2 linked regions of the Arabidopsis thaliana genome follow. The protein of the gene in region 1 binds, or shares a complex with, the protein of each later gene. Each region holds a gene or a part of one and is shown in the gene's direction. Other genes may lie near its edges. The genes, in order: AT1G67930 and EYE.

What was found.
Region 2: AT1G67930 (region 1) and EYE share a complex: the UniProt entries of both Arabidopsis thaliana proteins name them as parts of the conserved oligomeric Golgi complex.

The regions. Positions count from the first base shown.
Region 1 is NC_003070.9:25,469,395-25,485,478, reverse strand, and holds AT1G67930 (Golgi transport complex protein-like protein), read left to right. Parts: upstream 1-7,933; 5' UTR 7,934-8,146; coding exon 8,147-9,250; intron 9,251-9,541; coding exon 9,542-10,015; intron 10,016-10,340; coding exon 10,341-11,261; 3' UTR 11,262-11,339; downstream 11,340-16,084. Other genes in the region: HSFA8 (heat shock transcription factor A8), read left to right, coding at 1-635; POD1 (POLLEN DEFECTIVE IN GUIDANCE-like protein), read left to right, coding at 1,303-1,939, 2,033-2,184, 2,408-2,511, 2,693-2,781, 3,015-3,088, 3,276-3,426, 3,511-3,678, 3,874-3,971 and 3 more; AT1G67950 (RNA-binding (RRM/RBD/RNP motifs) family protein), read left to right, coding at 5,407-5,490, 5,605-5,708, 5,797-5,872, 5,950-6,033, 6,104-6,595; ABCI17 (non-intrinsic ABC protein 3), read right to left, coding at 6,812-7,254, 7,326-7,674; AT1G67920 (uncharacterized protein), read right to left, coding at 11,545-11,748; AT1G67910 (uncharacterized protein), read left to right, coding at 13,670-13,945; AT1G67900 (Phototropic-responsive NPH3 family protein), read right to left, coding at 15,591-16,084. UniProt on the Arabidopsis thaliana protein: Required for normal Golgi function.
Region 2 is NC_003076.8:20,883,500-20,900,499, reverse strand, and holds EYE (conserved oligomeric Golgi complex component-related / COG complex component-like protein), read left to right. Parts: upstream 1-9,492; 5' UTR 9,493-9,704; coding exon 9,705-9,989; intron 9,990-10,096; coding exon 10,097-10,186; intron 10,187-10,275; coding exon 10,276-10,395; intron 10,396-10,474; coding exon 10,475-10,576; intron 10,577-10,671; coding exon 10,672-10,952; intron 10,953-11,089; coding exon 11,090-11,235; intron 11,236-11,641; coding exon 11,642-11,840; intron 11,841-11,985; coding exon 11,986-12,658; intron 12,659-12,754; coding exon 12,755-13,090; intron 13,091-13,177; coding exon 13,178-13,456; 3' UTR 13,457-13,755; downstream 13,756-17,000. Other genes in the region: RGF5 (root meristem growth factor), read right to left, coding at 1,746-1,895, 2,015-2,131; RIN3 (RPM1 interacting protein 3), read right to left, coding at 3,277-3,333, 3,585-4,005, 4,221-4,439, 4,526-4,593, 4,673-4,810, 4,919-5,076, 5,204-5,309, 5,416-5,512 and 4 more; AT5G51440 (HSP20-like chaperones superfamily protein), read right to left, coding at 8,487-8,914, 9,054-9,258; AT5G51420 (long-chain-alcohol O-fatty-acyltransferase family protein / wax synthase family protein), read left to right, coding at 13,774-15,081; AT5G51410 (LUC7 N terminus domain-containing protein), read left to right, coding at 16,923-16,965. UniProt on the Arabidopsis thaliana protein: Required for normal Golgi function. Necessary for embryo development and pigmentation, especially for the expansion of cells and organs, and for the formation of the organized shoot apical meristem (SAM).

The DNA.
Region 1 (16,084 bases):
ATACTAAGATGTTACATTTAGAAGACAGAGTTCAAGGAATGGAAGAGAGTCAGCAGGAGATGCTTTCGTTTTTGGTTATGGTTATGAAGAATCCAAGTCTTTTAGTTCAGTTACTTCAGCCAAAGGAGAAAAACACTTGGCGAAAAGCGGGGGAAGGAGCGAAGATTGTGGAAGAAGTGACTGATGAAGGAGAATCAAACTCATATGGTCTTCCTTTAGTAACATACCAGCCACCATCGGACAACAATGGAACTGCAAAGTCAAACTCGAACGACGTAAATGATTTCTTGAGAAACGCCGATATGTTGAAGTTCTGCTTAGATGAAAACCATGTGCCATTGATCATACCTGATCTATACGATGATGGAGCATGGGAAAAGCTTTTGTTGTTGAGCCCTTCAAGGAAGAAGACGAAGAAGCAGGAGAACATTGTGAAGAAAGGAAAGGATGATTTGACATTGGAGGAGGAGGAGGAGGATGGAACAATGGAATTAGACAAGAGCTATATGCTTAAGCTGATATCAGAAGAGATGGAGAAACCAGATGACTTTGAATTTGGACAGCTTACTCCTGAGAGGTCTAGGAACCTTGAGATTTTGACAGAGCAGATGGAATTGCTGGCTTCAAATGAATAGTTGATTTTTTGAACATATCAGCCTCAAAACTTTTGTTATGTAACTCTATAACAAACAACGAAGTATGCACCGGATATATTACTTTCACCGGTGCAATTCTCAATGATGTGTTATAGCAGCTTACTACAAAAACATGGTTGAAACTTTTTGACAATAACCATGAGAGCAAACCAGTATAGTAAACCTCTTAGGATTCCTATATCGGTTCGATTTTGTGGGTTTTAAATCGAATCAAACCATAACCGAATGCATTATAAAACCCGTTTCCGAGTCAAAACCAAACTAATCACTTGATTTTTCTGTCATTGTTTATTGGCCTATCGGATTGGTTTTACTGCGGTTCGGTTATCCCTAAACCGAACCGAACCGACTAATTATTTTCTCAGTCACTCTAAACTAATCGCTTAAATTTAAGAGGCTTTTTAAGAACACGTGGCAGCATATAATTGGGTTGCTTTGTCAGACTTTTTTATAGCGTTACACGACGACGCATGTCACGCATCTAAACGCCGTTTCCAAAACAGCGTTTTGCGTCTCGACAAACAACAATCAAAATCTCCTTACTCTGTCTCCGTCTCTCTGGTTTTCGATTTCGTGAATCCAATTTTTGTGTGTATGTATTCGCTTCGTCTCTCCATTTTTCTTCGTCTTACGTTTACGTAATCCAATGGCGATTAGATCCTCGGGAAGAAAACTATCATTTGAGATTCTCAGCCAAAACAGCTCCTTTGAGAATGATGATACATCAATTCGCCGATCCAGCTCAGATCCAATTACCGGAAACGTAGCTTCAGAATCACCTAGAGACTACGGGAAACGAAAGAGATCGAAGAAGAAGAAGAAGAAAGTGAACCAAGTCGAGACTATTCTAGAGAATGGAGATTCTCATTCAACGATCATCACCGGTTCAAGTGGTGATTTTGGAGAGACTACAACGATGTTTGAGAACAGATTGAATTACTATGGTGGTGGTGGTAGTGGTAGTAGTGGTGGTGGTTGTGTCGTGACTCTATTAGATGGGCAAACTGTTCATCATAATGGGTTCAATTTTGGTGAGTTAAGGCAGAGGAATGTTAATGGTAGTGTTGATGGGAGTAATGATGAGCGGTGGTCTGATACTTTGAGTTCTGATAAGAAGTTATATATGGAGGAGACTAGTGTGGAGCTAAGCCCTTCTGAGAATCCACCGTTTCAAGAAGTGCAGCATCAGTTTCCAAGAAGTGAGATTAATGGGAATGTGGTTAGGAGATTAGATACAGAAGCTTCTTTGGATTGGAAACAGCTTGTGGCTGATGACCCTGATTGTAAGTTTCAAACTTTTCTACTTTGGATTGGTTTTTGTGGTGGTCTGAGGCTTGGATAATGAATGTTTATGTACAATGATGTTTTGTTATCAGTTCTTTCTGCTGAGACGAGGTCACCTATGAAATACTTTATGGAGGAAATTTATGGTGGGATCTCATTACGGAGCACAACGACTCCTGGGAATGATATCGAGCGCGAAAGAATATATGATACAATCTTCCGTTTGCCATGGCGATGTGAAGTGGTAAAACTGGCTTTCCTCTTCTTTGACAGAATGAACATTTGTTGTTTAGCTAGGTGTGTTATTTGTGTACCTCTGCTGATAAGTTTGTATGGATGGCGATGGAAATCTACCTGTTATGTGATTGTGAAGGGCTACCTAAATGAGAGTTCAATGTATATATATGTATGCTTCTGTTTTGTGATTTACACAGAGGTTTTTCACATTGTAAAGAATTTTAATGCAGCTTATAGATACTGGCTTTTTTGTCTGCGTCAACTCATTTCTGTCATTGTTGACAGTCATGCCAATAAGAGTCCTGCTGATATTTATGGATGCATTTAAGAACAGGTGAGTCTTTTTTAGATTCTTCGTTGATAATAACACACTTAATATATTGCTATAAACTGGACTTTCACACCAAATTGTGCATCTTTGAAGCAAGTGTAACATGCCTTGATCATACTATTCGCTATACACATGATCCTGCTATTCCCTTTGTTAGAAAGTATCTTAATAATATTTGTGGCAGGCAGTTCAGGAGGCCCTCTGCATCGGAGCTGTCTGATCTGGCTTGTTTTCTAGTTTTGGCCACTGGTACCATTCTTCTCGGGAGAACAGGTGTGGTAAAAAGCTCCTCATTTGCTTAAGCTAGTAATATATGTCATGTCTACTCTATCAAAATCTCTGCAGTGGTACATGGGTTGCATAGGGCATTACTTAATCTGTTTATTATTATATGGACAAGCTTAGCACTTCTGTTAAAAAAATGGATTTGTCTTTTCAGCTCATCAAAGTGATGGGAAAATGGATTCTCAAACAGTTCCCTTGTGTGTTTTTGTTTGTTTCCACAGATATCAGCCTAATTTACCACATGATTCGTGGTCAAAGTACCATAAAACTCTATGTGGTTTATAATATCTTAGAGGTAAAGTAAACCCTTTTTAGATAATTTATTTCTGCTATGAATTTTCATGTTCATTTCGCTTTTTCCCTTGTATTTCTTACATGGTTTAGTTGGTTTGTATTTGTCTTTTCGCTGCACACTTTTCTGTCCAGTTTACCTTATTCTCTATTCAACTGGTATTGACACATATATAAATATTATATTCCAGATATTTGATAGACTCTGTCAAAGTTTTTGTGGAGATGTATTTGGAGCCCTATTCAGTTCTGCAAAGGGACTGTCGATTTCTCCTCCTGAGAAACTGAGATTTTCGACTTGGAGATTTGTTTCTGACCTAGCATTAACTATGGCTGCCTCAAATATCCTTACAGCGTGATTGCTAGTTTGATTTCTGATAACTACTTCCAACATCTTTATTCTGTTGTGTCCTTAACTGTCTTCACTTCTCCATTCATTCATTTTATTAGCTCAGGCAATTACGTTGTCAACTTGTATTGTTGCTCACAACAATGCCTTGTTGGCCCTTCTGGTGTCAAATAACTTTGCTGAGATCAAGAGCAGTGTCTTTAAGCGTTTCAGCAAGGACAACATTCATGGTCTAGTATATGCGGGTAAGCTTTTACTCCGTGCCCTTTGTAGAATCTTGTGCCTTGAATACTAGGCCTCCTATGGCTCTGATCATTAGCTTAGTACTTCAAACATTTTCAATCACCTGTCAAAATGGGATCTGAGTTAGACTGTAATTCCAGCTGTTAGCTTTGGTTTTTGATTGGTATGTTTTGTTTCCCTTACTATTTCTCTACCAGATTCAATAGAGAGATTCCACATATCGGCCTTCTTGGTGTCAGTTTTGGCTCAAAATATTCTCGAGTCTGAAGGTGCATGGTTTGGAAATTTCATCTACGTAAGTGTACATAATTCTCTGGTAGATATAAAATTTTGTACAAGCCTCTTTCCAGGTTGCCTAAAAGTAAATATACTTGGACTCTGCAGAATGCTACTACGGTCTTCTTCTGTGAGATGATGATAGACATCATCAAGCATTCATTTCTTGCCAAGTTCAATGACATCAAACCTATAGCGTACTCTGAGTTTCTTCAAGCCCTCTGCGAGCAGGTATGGATCATACAGCCTTTCTCTCTCTCTCTTGTGCTGTTACATTGGCCCTATAAAATGCCATTGCTGCGTCATCTTACATCCATATATCTTTCTCTGGTATTGTCAGACTTTGAACATTCGTCCGGAAGATAGAAAGACAAATCTCACCTTTGTTCCCCTTGCACCTGCTTGTGTGGTATATTCCTCCTCTTCCCTTTTGACCTAAAAACTCAATTGTGATAAGTAAAAAAAGAAGAAGCTTGGAATGATTTTGAGTGTATATTTTGGGACCTCAGGTGATCCGAGTACTGACACCAGTATACGCAGCACACTTGCCATACAGTCCACTCCCATGGAGAATGTTGTGGATGGTCATCTTATTCGTCATAACATATATAATGCTCACAAGCCTCAAAGTTCTCATCGGCATGGGACTGAGAAAACATGCAACTTGGTATATTAATCGATGCCGAAGAAGAAACTCCTCCCATCTCCACAATGATTAGGCTGAAGATCATCTTTTGTGATCTTATTATACGTGTTTAAATATTCGATGAAGCGATTTTTGTTGTGGTTAGGCATATATACATATGTACAAAGAAAGAGACCTCATGGATCATTTGGCAAAAAGCCATCACAAGACAAAGAATAGCTATTACTCTTTTTGTTCTCTTCTTCTTTTTGTTTTGTTCATAGGACAATACAATAATAGGAACTTCACAATTTCGTTCACATGACCCATATTCTCTTGACTCGTGAGGTTGAAATGTAAATCACTTTAAAATTAAAAACGTACCTTGTCAGTTTTGAGACTCAAAAGGACTTGAAATATTGAAATCCCTATTCTTTACGCGTACTCGAGATTTTTCGCTCTTGAGAGAATCACTTCGACAATGTCGGTAACGGTAAGCATTCTCGATTCTCGGCCATTTTTGCTGGTGTGTTCTTAGATTCGGCTTTGCTTTTAGATATTTTTTGCTATTTTTAGATCTAATCAGAAAGGAGTTACATGCTACGATTTTGTGGATAAAACCACTGTTCTCTTGTTCTGTGATGAAGTCTGAGATCTCTCTTTACTGTGTCGGTGTTATTAAAAAAAAAACAGAACTTTTTTTGTTTCTCGAGTTTTTTTTTTTTGAATCCAGATTCTGTTCCACAGATGCTAATTTCAATCATAGTATCAATCTCAATTGAAAGTTTCTGGCTTTGGATGAATTAATTCAAAATAAATTTGAGTATTGATGATCTCTCCACAGGCTGCTTTCATTGATTCGGATCAAACTCAGCACAACATTCTTATGGATTCCCAATCAACTGTCTCCGGTGTAAGCAACCAACATTTCTCAAACTTTCATCTTCGCTGTGTTATGGGATTATCTTTGTATTGTTGTTGTAAAGCTGTCTGTTCAAAGGCTTTGTATTGATTCATTGTTGTGCAGGTGAAAACTGTCAAGATTAGCAATGTTTCACTAATTGTTTCTAAGAAAGATGTCAAAGAGTTCTTTTCTTTCTCTGGTGACATTCAATACGTCGAGATGCGAAGGTATGAAAAATAACTTGTTGTAAATTATCATCTTCTTGTTAAAGATGATCTTTACCAATATCTCTAATGTTTACTCTAATGATCTCAGTGAGACACAAGAGAGTCAGGTCGCATATGTTACTTTTAAGGATTCACAAGGAGCTGAAACTGCAATGCTCTTAACGGTATTTTGCTTTCCGCGTATGCATCATTCCGTATATTTCATGAATTAGTGCTTACAGCGAAAAACATTTCCTTCCAGGGAGCTGTCATTGCAGATCTTCGTGTTAGTATAACTCCTGCTGTTAACTATCAGCTACCACCAGAAGCCCTTGCACTTGACTCGGTAAAGACCGGAAACTCTTTGATTTATTCGTTACTCTCTCGGTGTTCATGTTGTTTCCTCTGTGTAGCAGGAACATTCGTTTAATGGTTTTTCTGTCAAGAAAGCTGAAGATGTGGTGAACATCATGGTGGGAAGAGGTTATGCTCTTGGAAAAGACGCCATGGAGAAAGCCAAAGCATTTGATGACAGACACAACTTGATCTCAAACGCTTCTGCAACCATTGCATCGCTTGACGATAAGATGGGTCTGAGCGAAAAGCTAAGCATAGGAACAACTGTGGTTAATGAGAAGTTGAGAGATATCGATGAGCGATATCAGGTGAGGGAGATAACGAAATCTGCTTTAGCAGCTGCTGAAGAGACAGCAATCAGTGCAAGAACGGCTTTAATGGCAAACCCTTATGTATCAAGTGGAGCTTCGTGGTTTTCAAACGCGTTTGGCGCAGTGACAAAGGCGGTTAAAGAGAAAGTTGAGAATGGAGGAGAAGGAAGAAAGGAGATCATCACACTTGATCCCTCTTCACCCAAAGTTCCTGCTGTAGTTCCTGTTAAGCTCGGTTGATGCAGATCTCATCAAACCAATCGGATCTCGACTAAATTCTTTGATAGGTTTGTTGTTCATATATATGCTTTCGTATGCTAAAGAGAAGATAAAAAGACATAAACCATGAAAGGTGTTGTTACATTCAACCAGCATTTGTTCCTCTCTTGAAAGAGATTATTAAGATTCAAGCAAAATAGCAAATAACTTGCAGGAACCATCAATGAGAAAATGGTCTCAAGAACTGAGTTGAAGAAACCTCTGTGCCATTGGATGCGTAGCGTGCGAAAGCTCACTTGGTTTAAGAACTTCAACAATCTCTCCGTCGACAACAAGGCAAACGATATCAGCAACTTTCTGAATCTGCTTGATACTGTGAGAAACAATCACAGTAGTAATCCCTCTCTGCTTCTTCAGTTTCACTATAACATCCTCAATGTTCTCTGTCGATATCGGATCAAGAGCACTTGTTGGTTCATCGAGCAGCAACACCTCAGGCTCGTTGGCTAGAGTCCTTGCAAGTGCTACTCGTTGAGCTTGACCCACAGATAACTCTGCACCAGTCTTCTTAGCAAAGGAAGCATCAAGGTCTGCAAGACTTAGCAGCTTATAAACCTCTTCGTCACTTAGTTTCTCCCCTCTCAAATTCGGACCATATCTCACATTATCCGCAACAGTCCCTGTAACCAACCACACATTATCAAGACCTATGAAACTAGAGGCTAAGCAAATCCCAAAATTTGATTATTACCTTGAAAAAGAACAGGAAGCTGAAAAAGCATTCCAACTCTACGACGAAGAGCAATAACATCAACGTTGGTTATATCTTCACCGTCCAAGAACACAGTTGACTCCGGTGGTTCCCAAAGACGATTCAGAGATCTCAAAAACGTTGACTTTCCACTTCCACTAGGTCCAATCACACCAACGATCATACCTTTTGGTATATCTATCGTAACTCCTTTCAAGATCCGAGATCCATCATCGGCGACTCGGGTCAGATCATGTACCCGAATCTTTGGTTCTGAACCAGACACAACAACATCCACAAGATGCTCTCGTAATGATCCATCGGATTCGTTAGACCAAAGTGATGGCATGGCTTTAAAGTTTTCAACTTTTTTTGATCAAAACACTCACTTAACGAAAAGATTTGTGTCCGTATATGAACAATAAGAATCAGTCAATTGATATTGACAATTTATTATTCTTACACCACTTAGTGGCCAACTTTTAGGACCAATCTCTGACATTTACATAATTTATGACATCACGAGATTTAGAGGAGGAATTGTTTTTTTTTTTTTTCACATCCAGATACAAATTCCCTACATGACTACATCTATCACTTGACTATGCCAGAAATGATAATTCCGGTTCGTAGATAACCAACAAAATTCAGACACAGAAATTAAAGTAGACCGGTTCACTATCGTATAACTTCGCTTTGAGTTTTTTTTTTTTTTTTTTGGTGTTTCAGAGATTAACTTTGAAAAATGAGTATCGCTTTGATCTCCTGCTAAAATCGCCATTGCAAAATTCAAAACCTGTAGAGATTGAAACTGTAAAAAAATGGCACTACCTCCATCGTCTCCTTCACCATCATCTCCATCTCTTCAACGTCTCTCCACCTTCAAAAACCCTCCTCCTTCTTCACTCTCCTCCGGCGCACCACCACCACAAACACCGTCATCTTCCTCTTCTTCGCCGCTCGATTCTTTTGCCACCGATCCAATCCTCTCCCCATTCCTCTCATCTTCCTTCTCCTCCGCATCATTCTCCTCCGCCGCTCTCGCTTCTGGATCTCCGGCCTCCACCGCCGAACGTCTCCACCAAGCAATCCGCCTCCTCGATTCACAGCTCCGTAATGACGTCATCTCTCGTCACCCTGAATTGCTCGCTCAGCTCTCTTCTCTCTCACACGCCGATGTATCTCTCTCTTCTCTCCGATCCTCCGTCTCTTCACTCCAATCTTCAATTCGCCGTGTCAGATCCGACCTCTCTGAACCGATCAAATCGATCCGATCTAAATCTGTTCAGCTATCTAATCTCCATACAGCTACTGAGTTACTATCTCACTCCGTTCGTACGCTTCGTCTCTCTAAGAAGCTTCGAGATCTAGCGGATTTTCCTGATCCAGATAAGATCGATCTCACTAAAGCTGCACAGTTCCATTTCGAGATCTTAACAATGTGTAAAGAGTATGATCTCTTTGGCATTGATGTGATTGATGAGGAAATCAAGTTTGTTACTGAGATTGGAGAGAAATTGAGATCTGAAGCTATGAAGGTGTTGGAGAGAGGCATGGAAGGGTTGAATCAAGCTGAAGTTGGGACTGGTTTGCAAGTTTTCTATAACCTTGGAGAGCTTAAGTCTACGGTGGATCAATTGGTGAATAAGTATAAGGGAATGGCTGTGAAGAGTGTGAGTGTTGCTATGGATATGAAAGCTATTACTTCTGGCTCAGGTGGTGGCTTCGGGCCTGGTGGGATTAGGTCTAGCGGATCACCGCATATTGGTGGTGGTGCTAAAGTTAGGGAGGCGTTGTGGCAGAGGATGGCTAGTTGTATGGAACAGTTGTGTTCACTTGTAGTTGCTGTGTGGCATTTGCAGCGTGTACTGTCTAAGAAGAGGGATCCATTTACTCATGTCCTTCTTCTTGACGAAGTCATCAAGGTGCGGAATTTAACTGGAATTTTAGGCTCCCTGAGTTTGTTTATTCGTTAGTTAAAGATATTGTCAATGTCCTGAGGAATAAGCTGCATTAGATCATTGAGAGGATCAGAGTTTCTTGTCACTTTTAGCGAGCTCGATGATGTTTGAACAATTTAAGTAGATGATCCTTCAATGTTTTTGCATCAAAAGGAAGTTTTGGGATGGGTTTCTGTGGTGTCAGGGCTGTTGATTAGTTTAGATTCCAACTTTTTAATTGGTTTTATTGCTTACATGAAGTGTTTATATGCACAGGAAGGCGATTCTATGTTAACCGATAGAGTCTGGGATGCACTTGTGAAGGCTTTTACTAGCCAAATGAAGTCTGCATACACAGCTTCGAGTTTTGTAAAAGAAATATTCACCATGGGATATCCGAAGCTTGTGTCTATGATAGAAAATCTTCTTGAAAGGATTTCTCGTGATACAGATGTTAAAGGAGTGTTACCTGCCATTAATTTAGAAAGGAAAGAACAAATGGTTGCATGCATTGCTATATTCCAGACTGCTTTCTTATCCCTATGCTTTGGCCGCTTGTCAGACCTTGTAAACTCGATATTCCCTATGTCGAGCCGTGGGAGTTTACCTTCGAAAGAACAGATTTCACAGGTATTATCACACATTCAAGATGAGATTGAGGCTGTTCATCCAGATGCTCGTTTGACTCTTCTAGTTTTGCGTGAGATAGGCAAGGCCCTTAGTAACCTAGCTCAACGAGCTGAGTGCCAGGTATGATAGACCTCTTGTTGGTTATTGTCCTCTTGTTATGTGCGATAGCTCCCTTAGTATGGTATCAATTTGTGCTTGTATTATATAGAAATTCTTAAAGTTGCATACAGTTGTATAGGAGAGATTGAGTACAAAGTAATAATTCGTGGGGCAATTATAATTTCTTCCAGACAGAAATGAAGAGAATTAGAGCTACATCTACCTCTACTATGCAAATATATACGTGTTAACTACCTGACATAATTAGAGTTAACAGTGTAAAGAAGTTATTCTGCTACTTATGCGTTTATGTTTGAAATGTAACACAGCTACACTTATATTGCAGATTTCTACAGGCCCTGAGACGCGGCAGATATCAGGTCCTGCGACTTCAACACAGATCAGGAACTTCACATTATGTCAGCATCTGCAAGGAATCCACACACATATCTCATCCATGGTAGCGGACCTTCCCAGTATTGCTACTGATGTATTGTCTCCTTATCTGGCTGCAATCTATGATGCGGCATGTGAGCCAGTTACACCTTTGTTTAAAGCAATGCGAGACAAGCTCGAGTCATGCATTCTTCAAATCCATGATCAAAACTTTGGTGCTGATGACGCTGACATGGACAACAACGCTTCCTCATACATGGAGGAGTTGCAGAGATCGATTCTTCACTTCCGCAAGGAGTTCCTATCTAGACTATTGCCTTCCGCAGCAAATGCTAACACTGCAGGAACAGAATCGATCTGCACAAGACTCACAAGACAAATGGCGTCAAGGGTTTTGATCTTCTACATCAGACATGCATCCCTTGTGCGACCACTTTCAGAATGGGGAAAACTCAGAATGGCCAAAGACATGGCCGAGCTGGAACTAGCAGTGGGACAGAATCTATTTCCCGTGGAACAACTCGGAGCACCGTACAGAGCTCTTAGAGCGTTTAGGCCTTTGGTTTTCCTGGAAACATCTCAAATGGGATCATCTCCTCTCATCAATGATCTACCACCGAGCATCGTCCTACATCATCTCTACACAAGAGGCCCAGACGAGTTAGAGTCACCGATGCAGAAGAACAGACTAAGTCCTAAACAGTACTCACTGTGGCTTGATAACCAAAGAGAGGATCAGATCTGGAAAGGGATAAAAGCAACTTTGGATGATTATGCAGTGAAGATCAGATCGAGAGGGGACAAAGAGTTTAGTCCAGTTTATCCTCTAATGCTTCAAATTGGTTCATCTTTAACACAAGAAAACTTATAAGCTGTGCTTTGTTACCGAATCAATATTCTTCTATTGCGAACTTTTTTGTCTCATGGATTTTTCATTCAGTTGTAGTTACTATATCTCTCACATACATATCATGTAAATCGAGATTCATACATCATCATACTATGCAAAGAGAGGAGACGTATTCATTTTCAAACGAAAGAGTATTTATATAGCATAATATATACAACAAAACCTGTTAACTATTAGGAACCACATAACCACCTCTACCTCTTTTTTTTTATCTATCTCTCTCGACTATAAAGTCAAACATGGATCAATTCCCAACGGAAATAGATCTCTCCCCTAAACCAAGAGGAGAACGTGAACGTTGACGCCTTTTGATCTCGCTAAGAACCCTCCTCATCTCCGGTTGCTGCAGCGACGGTTGTCTTATCTTCTCAAACTCTTTCTTTATCTTCTCAACTTGGCTATGTATTATTGGACCATCCTCGTTTCCATTATCGGTCTTGTTCTCCATCTCTACACAAACACGAGACCAAAGACACTGAAACAAAGAGACCCTTTATAACAAGAGACGACACGAGTTTTGTGTGTGAAGTAGAACCGAAGTTAGGTTGGTGCGCAACGCCGAATTAGTCTCAACTCTAAATATAAACAGCTAAAGAGTTTTTTTTTCTTTTTCAGATCATATATTATACAAAGAGACGACTCTCTCTATATTTATCTATCTCTCATTTTATAAACAAACGTGGAGGACGGTGTTCGGTGAGTTTTGGTTACGTGTCGGTAACGTTGAAACATTTGTGACGAGTCGCTTACGTTTATCTTTCGATTTGACCTTTTGTTTAATAAGATTTTTACTGGAAATTGGAGAAATCGTCGGTTTTTGACCGTTGAGAGACCAAAAGGCTGCCATGTGGATGGACTTAAGTCGCTAGTCAACTAGAAGATTCTAGTGGATATCCTTTTGAAACATTTCCTTTAATCAGTCGTTAATCGTTATTCAAACACATTTGACACTCGTGTGTTCTTTGTTTCGGCCTTAAAGCTTACACGTTATGTCTTTTTGGTTTTCTCGGTTCTTGTCCCAGTTTTTGGCCCAATGGCCCTATAGGAGGTGCTAAGTTCCAATTCAATATGTCTGACTTATATCAAACAGCTACGACGACTTTTATATAATCACAATTCTATTACCATTAAAATATGAAAATTACTAAATCTAGCACATCATTGTATCTTATAAATAGGGGTGTCAATTACGACCAAAAGTCTATAGATCGATCATAAACTCTTTCACTATAAGATAGCTTAGAGCTATAGTTTACATGACCTTAATGGGTCATATATATATGGTCGGTACCTTACATACATGAGATTCTTTTACCGAACAACTTTAATTATGATGCTTAATTTGCCACATCAACATCTAAGTTTTGCAAAAATTTATGATATTCTTCTATCCAACTAGACTCCAGTACCTTAGTAAATTAGTTATACAGAGTCTCTATGCGTTTTAGTTATTATGTGTCCTTTTTTCCTACGTAATTATAGGTTCAAAGAGTTTCTGTACGGAATTAGCTAATTCGTTTAGGTCACATGGTTTACGTATTGCAAATTCTATGATTGTTCTAAGAACTCTTAAATCTTATAAGAATTCAATCTAGGGATCCATACGATTCATGATCCGACCCCGTCCTACCACTACCACCGGTTTAGAAACACCGCTAAAGAGTAAAGACAATAATGGAAGGGGACCACTCAATGATGGGCTTTTGGGATAAGAAACATTATGGGAAAATAATGGATACAGTTGGCTTTTGATGTAGTGCATCCGTGATGATCCCCAAAAAAAATAGGGTAGAGGATAATATAAATTTGCAAGAAGAGGGATTTAGAAAAGTGTATCAACCTCTTTTGGATCTCTTCAGCTTCAACTTTGATCATCCATACAGAGGTATGTCCATGACTCTTGATTACCATTGATACGTACATTAGTTATTTACGTTCCTTATCTAATAACTTTTCTATTTCATCATTTATAGTAAAATATGAAATTCATCATATTAATTTTGCAAAACTCATTGAGTTTTCTCCGTCTTTCACAAATAGATCTCACTTTTATTTCTACGAAAACGTAAAAGCAAAGTACTATAAGAAAGATAAAATTTTAAAAAATGAAAATGAAATTTTTTTTATTTTTTGTGTGTGGAGACATCTATATTCTAAGTAAAGAGGAAATCTTAGTGCAATAACTAACATAAAACTAATATGTATGGCATGTTTTTTTTAAGTACTTGCATAGCTAGTAGTTCTTTTTCAGTTCATGGTAGTTAATTCACCTCATTAAGGAAAAATTTATTTTGGTGAAGACCTTCGTAAATGCTTTCTAATCCTTCAACTCATTATAATGGTCATGGCTTGTAAATGAAAACCAGGAAATGGAGAAGGTGCAACAAATGACAAACAACAAAGGAATCATGAAGGTTGAAATTCATAGCCATTTCAATTCTGCGGTGGAAGTGGGTTCCCGTGGGCTATCTCGTCAGACAAGCATGACCAAGACCAACTGCCTTTGCTCACCAACCACTCACCCTGGTTCTTTCCGGTGTAGGATTCACCGTTCTCTTTCGTTGCAACGTACCAAGAGTATCGAGGCTGCATCTCTATTGGATTCTCCACCAAAGCCAGCGGATTCCCCTAGTACCGCTACATAGATTCATGCATGAATCCATGACATTACCAATGTTTGTTGTAACTTGTAATTTGATCATTATATGGAGGAGTAGGCTTTTATTTTCCAACAATACGCATGAATTTACGCGTTAATCAATGGCATTACAATTGTTCATATGAAAACATGATCCGATAACATATTAGAAGTACATTAATGAGTAGAGTGAAGTGGAATCTTACTTGTAACTATATATACGATTAATATGAAAGATGCCCTTTGGAAATATCTTAGAGATCGTTGTCAAAATTATATTTTAGAGCTCTAATTAATTAGATCAAAATCTTTAGTCAACATGGTCCCAAACTATATATTAAAAGGTTATTGACTATGTATATCTTGGTCTCTTAAGTCATCTCAAAGGGCAGATGATTATCAAATTAATGAGAGACAATTACAAAATAGACATGGCTTGGTGCTAGATTGGCAAATCAATCAAAGTACTCATGAGTCATGACTCCATTCAAAAGACTACAAAGCGCAAACAACTTTAGAATGCTTGTAATTTGTTTTTCAAAAAGTGATAAAGAAATAGTCTATTGATTGAGAGAGAAACAATGATGGATGTGTTATAAAATGTGGAAGAGGCAATGTATATATAGATAATTCTCGTTGGTAGTTTTCTCACGAAGCGCCCATGTGTCTCTTTAATTTGAGCGGTGCTATTTTTTTCACCTTTTTTTATGGAATGTGAAAACACCATATAATTATAATGAAGTCGAATTGTAAATTTTGGCTGATTATCTCTAATATGCCAAAATAGACTAATATTTTCTCATATTCAAAACTTTTGAATCCAACACTTAATCTAAGTTTTTACCAAAGATAACTATATATTTTTTTGTCAACAACATGGATTATACTAGTTTGAATCTAGATGGTATATATACGGTGACATAGCAACGACAGTAATATTACCTCTATTTTACGATTTGTTGGAAAACTAGAAACTTGTAAACTTTTTTTTAAGAAAAGTCAAGTTTCAACAAGGTGAAATAGGGACAGAGTAGGTAAGACTTATACAAGAATGATTTGATGTTAGGAATTGTTGTTAAACATAATTGGAAGTTAGTAGAAAAACTTGAAAACTTGTTTAGTGAGAAAGAGACCACGTGATAGGTGACATTATTATAGAAAGGAATCATGATATGTAAACTTAATTATGCATCAAATCCAAGTTTGTTAAGATATCATGTCTACAAATTAAATGCAAAATAAATAAAAAGATAAAATATATAGATACGTAAAACTCTTTCCTAGTGATTTAATGAGCATGATCTTGATTTGGGTATTTATTAAATCGATATATGAATACGACCAATCATAACAAGGAATAAATTGGGATATATACTAATCAAAACCAGTAGCAGCCAACAGAGACAGAGAAGAAGATTTGACTTTACTCTTTACAAATTTAAAGAATAATCAAAGTTCTTCTAACAAAACAAATCCTCAGGGTCATTTTCTTTGACCTTCTGGATCTCAAACACGTGTCTCATGAATCTAAATATGATTCTAAACAATATTATTATCATCTTAGAGATTTTTAGATGAAGTTATACAGAGAGTAAATAGGTTTAAACATTTTTCTTTCTTTTACTCTACGATACCTAAATAACAATTTTGTTTTAACAGTTTTTGTCGCTTGAGTTTCTGTTGATGGACAAGAGCTTGCTAAACATCTTCTTAGGACGGCCAGGGATTGCACAAAAAGCCTTAAACCGAGACGGAGTTCTTCCTCCGTCCCCATTCATGAACCTTTCGTCTACCTCTTCATCTTCAGCTAGCTTGCTTCTCAGTGTACCTGATAGCTTTGATTTAGGTGATTTGAGACCCGAGACGCTCCATCGATCTTCTGGTGCAGCGATACTTGTTGTCGTGCTGAAAGCGGCTGCATTTGGATTAGAAGGGTCGATGTTGTGTGCTGCTAGGAGTGCTTTGATGTTGCTAGGAAGTTCAGTCGTGTTCTTTTCACCGTTGTTCGTAGCTGCAGCGGCTCGTGCTTGCTCGTAAAAGAGGACTTGGACCACTACTCTAAGCGGAAGCATCTCGTTTTGCGCTGCGTGCATACATGCTTCCATTGATAGTTTCTTGCAGTCCAATACTCTACAAACTCTCTTCC
Region 2 (17,000 bases), on another chromosome or scaffold:
AGATGGTTTCAAAGCGTGGTTTTAGTCGAGTCAGGTCTGACGTGGATAAGTCGAATTAGAGGTTTGGTCCCGCCACCGTGAGATGGCTCCTTTATGGTGCCGTCGCTCTCGGACACAGCTGGTGTAGAGGAGGAGGTCGGTGACGTTTTTTTTTATATATAATAAAATGTCATTTTCTTTAGACTCAGTTCCAAAAGAAAAACCAGAGGGACCTCTCGTGGGACGACATGGGCTCCATGTGGGATCATCGATCAATATGAAATTCTAACCATAGGATTTGGTTACGTGGCATAAAGTTGTTGGCTTGTTGATCAAAGCCTATTTTATGGTTTTACTTTCTTTCTTCGTATGATTTTACTTTAGTTACTTTCTTCTTCTCAACAATTATGAGCGGTCACAATGTTATTTGTTGTTTCGAATTATTATTTTACTGTTTCATCTAACACTATAAGCTTTTGTTTTCCAAGCAGAGATTATGTAAGGTTTTTATTTCATAACTCACTAACAATATTTTTCGAAACTCGATATAAACATGTTTTAGACTATCAGTCCAAATCAAATATCTGAATGATGTGGTCACAAAATCAATAAAGATGTCATTCATTGAGTTCAATAATCAGTTTAACCAGTAAAAACAGTTACTACTTGCTACCGTACCACTTGACCAAATTTGATTATGGTGTTTAAACAGAAGAAGAACACAAGAAAATAAAAATAAAGAGCCGACGTCTCAAAGAAGTTGTTTAAAGAAAGAAAAGTCGGGTCAAACTTAGTTTTGACGAGAGGCAGTGTAATTTAAGCAATACTACAAAGAAGACGGTCAAAGATTCTGACAAGAAGACGACAAAAAATTGGAACCAATTTTAGAAGTGGAAAATGAAAGACTGTTTTGTAAGAAAAAAAATATATATATGGAGATTTGGCTTTTCGAGGAGATGTAAGGTTCGTTCGGTACCAATTGAGGGAAGATTGTAGGTAGGACCATTTCACCAGTTGGATTCTCGACTCATTTTACTTATTTTGAAACTTGTTTATGAAGATATATTATGTTAAATCATATAGTAGTAATTATTGTTTAATAGTAGTAGAGTATAAAAATTGGAAGATCTTTTGGAAATTGAAATTTACCAGTCAGAATCCTCTTGTTTGACGCCGCTGTTTCTGCTCCTCCCTTTGACCATCGTTCATGCCTCAACAACTCCATTTTTTTTAACTTGAATTTCGTTTAGTTTCATGATATTTTTAGACTATAAACTACTAATATCCTAATAGTTTATCAAAGAATACAGTCGTCTTACGTCACATGAATTAAGAACAATATGTTATACGAATTCATTACTATCTATTGAAAGTTACACTCAATTATAGTAGTAGTCTAGTAGCGAATTCATTACATGCATGCACACATTTGCTTTTTTTTTTTTTTGGGCAAAATCACACATTTGCTTACATTTACAAAATTGATAGAGAATGTAAATGAGCCACAATTGGGCTTTTAACCTGTAATGGGCCTAAACCGGCAAGCAAATTCGTGATAGTTTGAGCAGCTATGAATGCGTCTCTTACCCAAAACTTACTCAAAATAGATGGATTTTGTCAGCTAGAAATGAAAACATGAACCTATACTTCAAAAGAATTCCACATTTGGAAACATATTAAGAAAACTGTTAAGGACGTATGTACTCTCTCTCACATACAAAAACACTAAATATGAAGACAAAAAAAAAAAACTAAAGAGAGAGGTTTCAGTTATGGCGTGGAGGCCGAGTGGACGGCTTCGGATAATCTGCAAATAAGAGCGGTGGACGACGATGGTGGTGCTTCAATGGACCCGGCACAAACCGAGAAACTTTAACGGGTTCTTTAGATGTCGAACTAGAGACAACATTTTGATCCTAAGCCACAGAAAAACAAAAAGAAGCCTTAGTTTTGAGAAGGTGATAAACAGATACCGCAAATACGAAGAACATGAAAGTAAATGAAAAGTTGATGAATTGAAATGTGGATCAAGAACCTTGACGAGTGAAAACCGAGACGCTGTAATGTGGACATTGTCGAGGTGACGAGAATCAGAATGATGCAAGAAGAGAAACAAGAGAAGGATCATTGAAGCAACATGGATTGAGCTCATTGGTCACAACAGAAGCAGTCATACAAGGCTCAACGACTAAGAGGATTATGAACCGTTAAAAGACTTAATAGGTAGTAGGAGACTATATAATAAGAGCAAGTTCACGCATAAGTATTTGAATGTAAGAATTAAATCACAGAATAAACAAGTTTTTTATTTAATCAATCCAGATGAATGTGCTGGAAAAGCTCATGGGAAAAGCCAAACATGAGTCAAAAAGAGAGAAAGAAACAACAAAAGGAAAAGGACATATAAACCTCGGTGAAAAACGAGTGATTTACTACTTCTTGTCTCTTACACATCTCATTTGAGACCAATCCCCAAAACTTACCGACTACCACGGTAAATATTCTATTAAGATAATGCAAGCTAGTTTCGGATTGCATTATTATATGAAAAACTTAAAGCACTTTTTGAAGGCAATTGTTTTAATTACCTTAATGGTTTTGTCTGCCTCGAGGATGGTTTGGAGGTTGACGATGACTGTTAACACTACTTTTTGAGCTTTGACACAATCTCCGAGACATCTTGTCTTCAAAAAGTCCTATTGAATTGCTCAATTCCTGCGTGTTTCTAAAACAAATAACACATGTTAGTTCAAAGTAAAAGAGCTTCAAGAACCAAGAACCCAACATCTGGACCAAGAATGTTCCCTCAGAATGTCTTTCCTCTGTTCCAAGAAGCCATGAAACCTGCAAATTCAAGCTAAAGAAACCGGTATAGAGTAGACAGCAGGACCCAGCTTTAAGGAAACGGTTCAGCAATTGAGAAGATCTATTGGATCAATAACAATACATTCTGCTTTTTGTTTTATTGTAAAATTACACGTTCTTATACAAATGGAGGTAGCATCAGTCCTCAGACGTGCATTCCCATAGACTGGTTACCAGCTCCAGAGAATAAAGCCTCCAACATCAGACTGAACAATGCAACTAAATGAGCTTTATTTATCCCACAAGAGCAATGAACAAAATCTACTCTAGAGCCTCTTACTCTTGCAAAGTCTGTTGCAAGAATGCCTCCTATTTACAGCAGACAACGCTTCTAAATGTGTGGTGGTGAGTCAAACTTAAAAGACAAGGATGTTTCCTGATGCGTCTATCTTATCGAATGGAACTGCTAATTACTTTTAGGCAAACCAATTTTCACATCTGGAGAAGATTGTTCACTGTAACAGAAACAGAATTTGTTCTTTGCAGGTCCTGAAAGAAGATTGAATCAATCATCACTTCAATACCCAGCGTGTGCAAACAAATGACAACAAATGGCCATTAAACTCAGAAAAATTGAGCCCATTAATTTCTTAATGAAAATTTTGCTTCACAAATTCATATATACAAATGTTTTCCTTTCATTTGATGCAGGAAACTAACTAAATATCCTAGCAATTCAACCCAGCAAGTAGCTTGCTTGTCAAAGCAGACACATACCAATAAATGCATCTAATATTTACCTGAAAAATTATTTCATCAGGCACATGTGGGAGGACTTCCCTTACTGTCTCGGCCATTGCTAGTATACTCGCCATGTTATTTGCTGCACGGGAGACAGTTCTTAGATGCAGACCACCTGTTCTTCCTCCAGCACCAGGAGGAACATATGTAGATGAAGTCGATGCTTGCGAAGGATTCATTGGCCAGAGACCCCAAGAAGCATCGTCAAGTGTAGTCTGAGCAGAACCTTCCCCTACAGATGCAAGATGCCTCATCATCAATTGAACCTGCCCCAGCCCAACGGATCTGGAGCCTGCAGAGGAACCCACAACATCAACACCCTGATCTGACCATGTTTGCAGCCAGCTTGGATCCACCTCTGAATTCCTATATGGCATGAGAAAAAGGTGAGAACTGCTAATCCCGTTTAAGAAAGCCAGTCTTTAAAAAGAAAATCAATGGGGGCACAAGCTTGGTCCTCACAAAACCAACAATTACTTGCTACCCAAAAGAACCAAGTATAATTAGACAAAATTAGAGAATGCATAGTATTTTAGCTCAGGGATAGGAAACCACAGGAAGTTGATGATCTTGTTATGAACACACTGTTACTTTAATGCACTTAAGAAGAAAACATATGGAACAATGAACCCAACCTCCAAGGATCACTTTCGGTGAAATTTGGCGTCTCAGTTGGAAACATTCCAGTGGTTAGTGCATGCACAGAATTGTTTTGTCTCTCAAATTGACGGGCTAAGTGTTCATCGCTTGAGACTTCTCCTCTGCTAGGATTCGCCTCACTTTCAGTTCTACCAACAAAAAGAGGCTTACGGCAAGTAGGACAAGAGTAAACCTCATTTAAACCTTGATCCAACCTGCCAGAGTCAAAATATCATTATGATTTACAGTTCTCACAGAACCGCAATAGCACAAGGCTGCCAACATAACAGAGCTAGCATACCATGATCGTAGGCAGCCAAGATGAAAAAGGTGGTTGCAGTGAAGTCTTTTAGCCTTAGCCATTGGTTCCTATCATTCATAATGGTTCCAAGATTAGTGAGCTACTAAAAAAAGTAAGGAGACCAATAACTATCAAGCAGAAACTTACCCGACATATAGCACATTCGTCATCATAATCCCGTAGCTCTTCTGAAGTTGCATCAAGAAGAGCTGCATGAAGAGCACCTAAAGCTACTCTCAGTTTGATGTATCCTTTTATTCGTTTCAAAATTGAACTTAGCAAGGCCTGTCAAAATCAAACGGGAACACACAAAGAACTTAACAATTAGGTATGTGCCTATTAAGAAACCAGTAGAGTGGCACTTTTACAAAGAAAGTCAATTAACAGACTTACACGTATGTTGAGAAACAAAACTGCATCCACCAGATGGAAGGCCATTCCATGGAGCCACCAGATGTGCAAATAATGACCGAGGGCCATTACCAAGGTAGCCATGTCTAGGAAGAAACCAAGATTTCGGTTGAGGAGGCCTTTCCATTCCAATAACGAGCCTATTCAATGGGTAAGAGGTCAAGTTAGTAATGTGAACACCAAACAGGACAAAAAATTTCAAATAATGCACGCCTGCAGTCTAACAGAAAACATAATTACAATCATATGCCGAGAAAAAGACAAAACCTGCTGTCATGGAATCATAAAACTTTGATCTCTGGCAATCTGAATTCTTGACTGCTAAGTGGTTGATCCACATATCAAGCAGTTGAAACCCGTGAATCAACAACGCCTGAAAAAAATGATCCATTATGCGATTGATCAACCCTCTATATTTCTAGGTACGGTTACAAAGAAGGGTAACATAAACAATGAATACAACTATCTTACTCAAGTACCTGCAAGGTCTCAAAAGCTATACCGCATGGCTCAAAAAGTAACAGTAAATAGACAGACGAACCAACTGTATTGTATATCATAAGGGAAAGCTTTATCCTGCAAGATTCGACAAAATTAACATCCAGAGACGAACAAGTTCATTCTTCAATCACTAGAACAGAATATGATAATCCAGAGGGTCTGGTGTATGAATTAAAAACTCCCTATTTTCTCCTCATTGAACTGCAGTATAATAAATACGGGAACTCTAGAACACAATATTTTCTCCGCTCACTACAGCATATGCACCCTCAGAACATACTAAAGCCTCTGTTTTATCTTAGCAGAAAATTACACTGCTTTCACTAGAACTATATGCATCATGAAAGTCATGTGCACCATTCAGAGACTTAGGGTTAATTTGTTTTGTCTCCTCTGATATACAACTATACTTTATTTTATTTTAAGAATATATATCTGGTTCCAGAGACAGAAACTAGGAGGAAAACTTTACACTCATATTTTGAAATAGAAGAAGGAAAATAGTGCACTCATATTAAAAAAAAAAAAGGGGTTGAAAAAGCCGCAACTCAAAATTTCACATGATACCAAAGAGTTAAGGAAATACCAGCACAAATCAGTAGAGAGAACCATGAACAGTGCTGAATACACACGAAAGTATGTCCAAGGAGTCGAAGAAGGAGATGCATTCAATCGATCAAGCCGATCTCTAGCCAAAGCTTGAAACATCTACACAACATTTTACTACACATTAGGGTGTCTAGAAAAAAAAATCAGCACTTCCTGATCATAAATCAAGAAAGCCAATTATGCAACCTGTATACCATACCTTTAGAGTACACAGAACAGTCAACCAGATTGTCCATAGGACCCCCTGAAATACTGTTCGTGGAACCACGAATGGCAGAAAAGTGCCCTAAAAACAGGAGTAACCAAGAAGGTTATTAACATGAAAATGGCACACATCTGCAAATAACTTAATTTTATGCAAACAGATCAGATATCCAATCGAATAATGTGGTAGAAATATATGCTCATGTACCATTAATGCTTGTCATTTTAAGTAGGATTTCGTCTTCATCCTTTTTTGCAATATATTCAGTAAAGGAGATAATAGAATATCCCAGATATCATAAAACTATATAAGTGACAGAAATTGTGGGTTGGTTTCCGTTGCACCCTACTGTCTTTCATCAAAGTACAAAAAACTACCTTGTAAATGATGTAATTGGCAAGCCTTTCCACCAGTTTTCTAGTTTCAATGGCATATAGATCTCCAAAAAACAGAGTCTGCAGGGAATATTAAGAGTTATCAGATCCTCACACAATGATTGAAAGACATTTCCCAAAACAGCTAGTCTATTATTACCCTACAAGTATGTGCAGACCCTTAAGGCAACAAATAGCATGGTATTTGGTTTCACGGAAGCCTTATAACTATCGAAAACCAAGAGTTTTTAAATCCTTCAGGTCAGAAATACTTGGTTCTTACACCACAACTCTTAACCCGCAGGTGCAAACTTATAATTCATGTATTTTCTAATAGCCAAACTACGAGCTTTACATTGAATTCCATCTAAAGGAAAGAACCATTCAAAAGATGTATATCTATTCTACGTAAGAATAAAGCTAGCCGACGAATATTGCTTAAACTTAACCTCGGAAGTAAAAGACCACTCTTACCTTGAGAGAAAGAACAAGAAGAATGTAGATATTGAGAACAAAACTTGCCAGCAATGCAATTGTAGTGTGAGAACTCAGAAGAAGCTCAAGGGTATTCTCAGAATTCCCTAAAGAAATGTTCTTGGTGATTATCCCATCAGCTCTAAGTCTATCAAGAGACAACTCCGTCCAGACTTGTAAACCCACAAAGCTCAAAGCTGTTGTTGCCACGGAAATGTGCAAATATGTTATCCCCATTAGAAACTATTATAGCCTTCTCACTCCGAATTAACCCACAGATTCTCATTTAGCATGACGTCCCCTGCATCAACATGATTTTGCATAAGCTAAGCAAACCAAAAGCTTATGTAAGTTAGAGAATTGAGTTAAAAAGTTTCAATTTTTTTATAACGTAGGCCAATCGAAGCAAGTAAAATTCAAAACCATGATCACGAAGTTCATAGGATACTGCAATTGAGAGAGATATGTATTAAATAAGTAAAATTGAAGAAACTGGGAAATTCAATTAACCAAAGGAGAGAGATGAGCTGAAAGATTGAGGTCAATAGAAGAAAATATGAAGATAATGGTGGATTCTGCAGAGAGCGAAATGGATCAAAACCTGAGTTCGCGATTGGAAAATTCTCCTCAGCACCGGCAATTGCGTCCTCTTTTTGTCTCTCTTTCTCGATGGACAAGGAAAAATGAAGAATATAAAATGCGGAAGAAAAAAACTCAAAATAATAAACCATGCGGTAAATAAAAAGTTACTTAAATTTGACGATGCCGACACGAACGAGTTCTATGGTCACCGAAGTGGTTCCAAAGAAGTAAAGCTATAAAGAGCGCGCTTTGCCAAACAGAGGTGAAAAAAAAACGGTAGCAAAATTCTCTAATAGTCTTGTCCCACAACCTTCTTCTGGTTGCTGAGACCTATATCAACATTTCCAGCACATTCAAAATCAGTTACTTGGTATCAATTTGATGTATCATCCCCTTATAAAACCGAGTTTGAACATCGAGAATGAGCATCGAATGTATCGTTGATCATGGCTCTGTCCAGCATGTTTGATAACACCACCATAGTCCATAGGTATAATGATAGAAAATCGTCCTAGCAGACTCTTTTTCTCCATAAATAATATCCAAATAACTTCAACTATATCATAGTTGCTACGATATTCATATCCAGAATCCGATATCAAGAATTTGGGAAACAAAATCCGAACCTATGATATGAAAGTAGTCAAACGTACATAGATCATTGATGTAACGAAAAAAGTCAAAATCCCGAACACATAGGACCGTGGGAAATGTCATTCTCCTTGATTCACCAAAGGACACCTTAAAGTTCACAAATTCACTCACTTACTTCCATTCCATCTCAAACAATCCAAAATAAAACACTCTAGTCAACGTTTATGTGACGAATATTGTTACGCTCATCCTCTTTAATCTTTGGAATCACCACTTTCAACACACCATTCTTCATTTCCGCCTTAATCTCATCAGTCTTGTATACTTTCTCCGGTAACTCAATCCTACTCGTAAACCTCCGTCCATCTCCAGAAACATCTTCTCCCTCCTCTGTTTCCCCTTCTCCTCTAATCACCAATGTGTTCTGTTCCAAAGCCAATTTCACATCCTCTCTGCTTAGTCCCGGCATATCTATCCTTAGATGCAACGCGTCGTCTTTCTCTTTCACGTTCCAACCACGTCTAACTCCAGAAGCTCCCATTCCACGAGTAGCTGATACCAAAGGGATTTCGCTTACCTGGTCCATGAAATTCAGCATCTGGCTCAAGCTTCTCGTTGGAGTAAACGGATCGAGTATATCTGTTTGAAAAAACAACCAAATTTTCAGATTCAACAGATCTCCAAAACAAAGTTAGATGTACTCTATACATAAATCACTAAACATGTATCAAATTGGGAAAATCTATAGCGAAATTGGACGGAGGAACCATGGATTTACGTGAGAAGAAATCGCCGCCGTGGCGAGAAACATGTCGGTTTGAGTGATGGTTCCTATCGACACCGTCTTCATAGTTTCTGGCGGCGTTGGTATTGAAGAGGCGAGATGAAGCAGCCACCGGACGAACGGCTCTTAAGGCGCGAGGGACGGCGACGGTGGAAGAAGAGAGAAGTCTCCTGAGAGCTAAAGCCGATGATGACGCCATTTTTGGAAAGAGAAGAAGCTTAGAATTAGCAAGTGATTAATTATTTTCAAGCTCGATGAGATATTTTTTATACTCTTTGAACGAAAAAAAAGCTGTTAGAGAAAGGTTTATATAGAACAGAGAGTAGAAGAAGCTGCTAGAGGCTAGAGAGTCGCTTAAGGATGGTTCTAGAACTGCGTGGTCTCCAAGTAAAATAAAGAAAAATAAAGAAAAAGAAAGAAGAAAACTTTTTCCGTGACGGCCCATCACTTTGGGGCCCAGATTTGTAAATTTATCTTCCGTTTACTTTGGTTTGGTTTTAAAGTCGAATTTGAAAGTCGGTTTAGATCGATTTGGTTTAGTTTCTTCTTCAGTGTATCTGCGAAATCAGAGGATCTTCTTCTCTTCAACATCATCATCGTCGAAGCTGAAGAGAATCTAAGGTAAATCGGGTGATCGGATCAAGGATGATGCTGGATCTAGGTCCATTCTCAGATGAGAAGTTCGATGCGAAGCGATGGGTTAACTCGTCGTGCCAGGCGCGTCACCCACAGGATTCACTCGAGAAACATCTTGTGGATCTGGAAATGAAGCTTCAGATTGCCTCCGAGGAGATCGGAGCTTCTCTTGAAGAGCAGAGCGGTGGTGCTCTCCTCCGTGTTCCTCGTGCCACACGAGACGTGTTGCGTCTCCGTGATGATGCTGTGTCTCTGCGTGGTTCTGTTGCTGGAATCCTCCAGAAGCTCAAGAAGGTACGCATTTGTGCTGATTCCTGAGATTTTGTTTGGATCTCTTCTCGAAAATTAGATTATATCAAATTCCTGAAACTTGTGCTCTTATCGAATTCGGTACTCTGCAGGCAGAGGGTTCTTCAGCAGATTGTATAGCTGCGCTTGCTAGAGTGGACAATGTCAAACAGAGAATGGAGGCTGCCTACAAAACACTACAGGTTAGTATTCATAGTGATTTTGTGATCCATTATGTGGACACTTGGGGGTAGATCTGCAATTGATTCTCTTCTTTTTGGTATATGTACAGGATGCTGCAGGGTTAACTCAGTTAAGCTCGACGGTTGAGGATGTATTTGCTAGTGGCGATCTTCCTCGTGCTGCAGAAACTCTTGCTAGCATGCGAAATTGCCTGTCTGCTGTTGGAGAGGTAGTTTTATGTCAGCTTCAGTACTCTGAGGATTTAAGTCTTTTTCCGTCACCACTTAAAGTCCAATTTTTGTCAACAGGTTGCAGAATTTGCTAATGTGAGAAAGCAACTAGAGGTATTGGAAGATAGGCTGGAGGCGATGGTGCAGCCACGTCTTACTGATGCATTAACATATCACAAGGTTGGAACCTGTATATCTAGAGAACCCAACTACTTTAGGTTGTAATGTCTCTGTTGCCATTATTGGACTGAAAAGCCTTTCCCCAAATTTGGCAGGTTGATGTCGCCCAAGATTTGCGAGTAATTCTCATCCGGATTGGGAGATTCAAGTCTCTGGAGTTGCAATATTCAAAAGTCCGTCTAAAGCCGATTAAACAACTCTGGGAAGATTTTGACACAAAGCAAAGGGCAAACAAGCTTGCCAATGAGAGAAGTGAAAGTCAAAGGTTGTCTAGCGGCGATGAGTTTCAGTCGACATCATCTCAGACATCATTTGCCAGTTGGCTGACAAGCTTTTACGACGAGTTGCTACTCTATCTTGAGCAAGAGTGGAAATGGTAAATGTTTTACTTTTATTTACAGTAAACTGTATATATTTTCCGGGCCCTTCCAGTGACAGTATGTCAGATCTTTAGGTGATTGCAGCTTTAAGTATCAATCACTGTTGTACGTTTTTGCTTTCATGATTGTTTAGGTGTATGGTTGCCTTCCCTGATGACTACATGACTCTCGTCCCAAAGCTGTTGGTTGAGACCATGGGAGTACTGGGGGCTAGTTTTGTTTCTCGTCTTAACCTTGCAACTGGAGATGCTGTTCCTGAAACAAAAGCACTCGCCAAAGGTTAGATATGATGTCAGTACAGTTTGATTATTAGGTTTCCTTCTTAGTCTAGTCTTTTTACCCAGCTGAATTGGGATTGCGTTGCTTCTTTAGTGGTTCTACTCTACCATCCTCATGTTTGGGTAGATAGATGTAAGAAGAGTATCACTTTTTTCTGCCTTTACATGAGCTAAAGTTTTTGGCTGTTCTTGTTAAGTTTGTAATTTTTGTGCATAGTGGCCGATGTCATGAATCTGTCAATATGCAAGAGAGACTTGCAGGAAGTTTGAACAACAACTTATTTGTTACATTTTTCATTTAGTCACTGGAAATTTTCCAGACAATGCACGATTATCTTCAATTGACTTATATCTGTATTTTGTGTATTTAGGAGAATACTGACAATTCTGATGTTTTCCTTGAACAGGTGTGATGGATCTATTATCTGGAGACTTGCCCAAGGGTATTAATATTCAGACCAAGCATCTTGAGGCTCTGATTGAACTGCACAACGTAACTGGTTCCTTTGCAAGAAATATTCAGCACCTGTTTGCGGAATCTGAACTTAGGATCTTAATAGATACGCTGAAGGCCGTGTACTCACCCTTTGAATCGTTTAAGCAAAAGTAAGTTTTCATGTTGTGTACTTCTCTTCCCCCATGTCTTGTATCCATTTCTAGTATTTATGGATTGTCCCATTTTTTTGATGAAACTTTTTTGGGTCGTGGTTCTTCAAGGCTGTTTGTGACATAAGGTTTGATCATGCTTTAGGTATGGGAAGATGGAACGTGCTATTTTATCCTCTGAGATTGCAGTGGTGGATCTGAGAGGGGCTGTTACTCGTGGTGTTGGGGCTCAAGGAATTGAACTCAGTGAAACAGTGCGTAGGATGGAAGAGTCTATTCCCCAAGTTGTTGTTCTTCTTGAAGCTGCAGTTGAAAGGTGTATTGGCTTTACTGGAGGGTCAGAGGCAGACGAGCTGATACTTGCATTAGATGACATAATGTTGCAGTATATCTCTATGCTTCAAGAAACACTCAAATCTTTGAGAGTTGTGTGTGGAGTGGATGGTACAGGTGATGGAGTTGGCTCAAAGAAAGATGCAAGTGCAGAGAAAAGGGAGAGCTCTCGCAAGATGGATTTGACTTCAAATGAGGAATGGTCCATTGTTCAAGGAGCACTTCAAATTCTTACTGTAGCTGATTGTCTCACGAGCAGGTCTTCTGTCTTTGAAGCCTCTTTGAGAGCAACTCTAGCTAGACTAAACTCCAGCTTGTCTATTTCATTATTTGGCACAAATTTGGATCACAACCTATCACATTTGAAAAGTGAACAAACTGCTGGAGATTTGTCTATGGCTGGACGAGCTTCCATGGATGTGGCAGCTATTCGGTTGGTTGATGTTCCGGAGAAGGCTCACAAACTATTAAACCTATTGGAGCAGGTAGTGAAAACCTGTAGGCTTGATTTACAAAGTTTCTGAATTAACTATTTGATATTTCATGCGTATCGATTCCCTTTTCCCTTTGATTTTTTGCAGTCCAAAGATCCACGATTCCACGCACTGCCTTTGGCGTCTCAGAGAGTTGCTGCATTTGCCGACACAGTCAATGAACTTGTCTATGACGTCCTTATATCAAAAGTCAGGCAACGTCTAGGGGAAGTATCTCGCCTACCAATCTGGTCTTCCGTCGAGGAACAAACTGCTTTTCCTCTACCAAATTTCAGCTCATACCCGCAGTCTTATGTTACAAGTGTTGGAGAATATCTCCTTACTTTGCCGCAGCAGCTTGAGCCTCTAGCTGAAGGCATCTCAACCAACGGCGATTCAAACAACGAGGATGCACAATTCTTTGCAACCGAATGGATGTTCAAGGTAAGTCTAATTTAAGCTTTTGTCAAACCGAATCGCAATAAGCTAAGACCTTAACCACTAAGTGTTTTTTTTTTAATAAAACAACAGGTAGCAGAAGGAGCAACCGCTCTGTACATGGACCAATTGAGAGGAATCCAATACATTTCAGACCGAGGAGCACAACAACTCTCTGTAGATATTGAGTACTTGAGCAATGTGCTTTCGGCTCTGTCCATGCCAATTCCGCCAGTTCTTGCAACTTTTCAGACGTGTTTGGCTACACCGAGAGGTGAGCTCAAAGATGTGATGAAATCAGAAGCTGGTAATGAACTCGACTGCCCTACAGCTAATCTTGTTTGTAAGATGCGTCGTATCAGTTTCGATTAGTCTCAAATCTACTTGGGTTTCGATAAGACTTTGCTAACAAATCGGCTCGTCCATTGTCATATTGTATTACAGCATTGTCTAATGTTTTAGTTACGTAGTTTTTTCGTGTTTTTTATTGTTTAGAAAATAGTTTGTTACTTAAATAAAATGTACTCGTGACAAGCCGTTTTAGTTAAGACCAAATCATAGATGAAATGGCTTCCACTAACATTGCGTGAGAGGAAGAGGCAAAACTGGTTCCTTGGTCCGAATCTTCTAACAATGTGTAGCTGTCATAACAAAGTCAAGAAAGACAAAAAAAAAAAAAGATCGGATAGATGGAGGAAGAACTCAAGAACTTGATCAAGGTTTCGGTTTCTGTAATAATCTCCATATCTTACTGTTACTACGTACCAACCAGAATCAAACCTGGTATCTTTAGATTTCTCTCTGTTCTTCCAATTTGTGCTCTGTTTCGTGTTCTTCCTCTGTTTTTCGCCTCTGTTCACCTCTCTGGTTACACAGCGCTTTTCATCTCATGGCTCGCCAATTTCAAACTCATACTCTTCTCCTTCAATCAAGGCCCACTTTTTCCACTTCCCTCAAATCTCACCCGATTCATCTGCTTCGCTTGCTTCCCCATCAAGCTTCAACAAAACCCTAAGCGCCGAGACTATTTCTTCCAATGGGAATACCCCATTGAAGTTTTGTTTAGTAACCAATTCGTGACTAAAGTTGTAATCTTGAGTGTAGTGTTACATATGTATAATCACATACAACATATATATCCCATTGTGCTATTTGTTCTCTATCCACTCCATCTATACTTGGTACTTGAGATTCTCTTAAAGCTCTTCAACGCTTTCTTCTCTATAGCTCTTGATTGCGAACTCGAGCCACAGCTGAATGAACCATACTTGGCCTATTCTCTTCGAGACTTCTGGGGTCACTGGTGGACACTCATGCTCCCGACGATCCTCCTGCCAGACGTCTACGCTAGGATGCGGCGAATCACTGAAGGGAAAATGAACTCCGAGAATGCTCTGTACTTGGGAGTTTTTGTCACATTCCTTGTCTCCGGTGCACTTCACGAGTTTCTCTTCTTCTATATAACTCGTGAGCGGCCTACTGGAGAGGTTACTCTGTTCTTCGTGTTACATGGGGTTTGCATTGTGGCGTACGACGCCAGGTTAAAGAAGAAGATTGCGCGGTGGATAGGGTTTGAATTTTGCCCGTGTTTGATATTACAAGTGATGGTTATGGGGTTTGTCGTTGTGACTGCTGGTTGGTTGTTTTTCCCTCCTCTTGTCAGGACCGGCAAGATTCAGAGATTCGCTAACGAAGCCTTGCTCTTCATTGGTTTCGTGCGCAACTTGTTTAACGAATCCTTGTTCTTCATGCGTAAGTTTTTTAACGAAGCCTTGTTCTTCACTGGTTTCGTCATGCGCAAGTTGTTTAACGGAGCCTTGTTTTTCATTGGTTTCGTCAAGCTCAAGTTGTTTAACGAATCCTCCTTGTTCTTCATCATGCGCAAGTTGTTTAACGAAGCCATGTTCTTCATTGGTTTCGTCATACGCAAGTTGTTTAACGAAGCCATGTTCTTCATTGGTTTCGTCAAGCTCAAGTTGTTTACTTTTGGCTGGTGATAAATTGCTAAATCATGATATAAGGGATTTAAGTGTTTCTGTAGCTCGATTATCATATCATCTCTCTCTGTTTCAAAACAATTGTGGCTTTACAATTTCAATGTGATTTATTTATTTATATAAGTTTACTAGTTTACCCTTGAATGGTAAAAAGATTTCTTATTTTGTGTGAGATGCAAAACGAAGGCTCTAAATGGCCTTTGAATTCAGCTGAATTCAACGGTAAAGGTAAGCATCTCACCTTCTACAATATGAAAAGCAAAGATAATAAGCCCTTCTTACAATCTAGGGATGTGTTAAAAAACCAGAGATGAACAAGGCTTCGTTAAACAACTCGCGCATGATGAAGAACAAGGATTCACTATGTTATCGCGTCAAGGTTCTTGCTGCTACTGTATGATTTATGTGTCACAAAGCTTAAACATGTTTTTTTTTTTTTTGCTAATATCATTTTTATTTGGAATGCATGTTCTCTTTTGGTGTATGCAACTATGTAAAGAACACATCAAAATACTCATTGGTCCTTGCTAAAGGTTTAGAGACGTTCCAATGGCTCTTTGTTTTAGGGAATGCAAGGTGATCACGTATACATATGTGAAATAAGAGTTAAAACGAGTAATGTATCTTGTTCTTGTTTTCACACAAATACTAAGTCATTGGAACAGAGCATTCTCCGTACGTCTTTAGTACATTTAATTAAGGGTTTGTTTGACAAGTCTTTAGTACATTGATTTTTCTAGCTAGTAAAGTCTATACGATTATGGAAACGTTTTGAAGTCACTATAATATTCAAAACAAAACGTTCCCATAGTCACAAAGTTTAGGACGGGTGATGATTAGTAGGCATGTCCATTTTAAGACGGGTTGAATTTCGTGAACTTTTATTCCGAAGTCAATTCTTAGCCAAACTAGTTAACTTTTACGCGTTTCAAAATCAACCTTTATCCAAATTAGTGATAGTTTGAAAAGTGAATTTAACTACAAATGTTTTATGAATTCATTTTGTAACCTATCTTCAGTCAAATTAGTGAATATTTATTTATTTTGCCAAAGTCAACTCTTAGCTTAATTAATGAATACTTGAAAAGTAAATTTGGCTACATTTTCATACAATTTTTTTATGGCTACATGAATTTAACCCAATCTGAATTCCATCTCGTAACATGAAATTTTCATTTCGTTATGGCCATTAATGGTGACATAGACCGCACCCAAAACCGTACCGCAACAGTGCTGTAACAGTATCAAAATCTTTACATATACATATGTATCTATATATTTTCGTTACTATTTGAACCGCACCGCACTTCTCCTGCACCGCAAAACGCAGCCACCATTCAAATCAATAGGTATCAAAAATAATTCAGGTTGTGTTTTTTACTATTCGGATTGCCCGTTTCTGATTTTTATTCGCTAGTATCTGTTCTAATATCTGAAATAAATGTATTTAGCGATCAATATTTTTCTTTCCCCTATAATATAAATCAATATTTTTGTTTTCTAAAATAATAAAACTTAAATTTGTGATTGCCTTATGTCTATGAATTTATTAAAAATTTAATTTCGTTAAGTGTTTTGTTTTTTCGTGATATTATTTTTTAGTTCAACTTTTTCTTGATATGATTATTCATTATTTATATAGGGAATAGAGTTTTTTATTTTTTATTTTGCAATCATAGAGTTTTACCATAGACGAACGCCTTTTATTCGTCGTGGCGAACGAAACCCTAATCATCACTTCTCCACTTTTGTTCGTCATCCTCTTCAAAATTTCTTCAATTTGATTCTGCAATTTCCTTTATCTCTCTCTGGATTAAGTTTCAATTTCTTCTTAGCCCGCCATGGATGCTCAGCGAGCTCTGTTGGACGAACTAATGGGCGCAGGTGAGAATAATCGAGTACCAAAATCTATTTTCAAT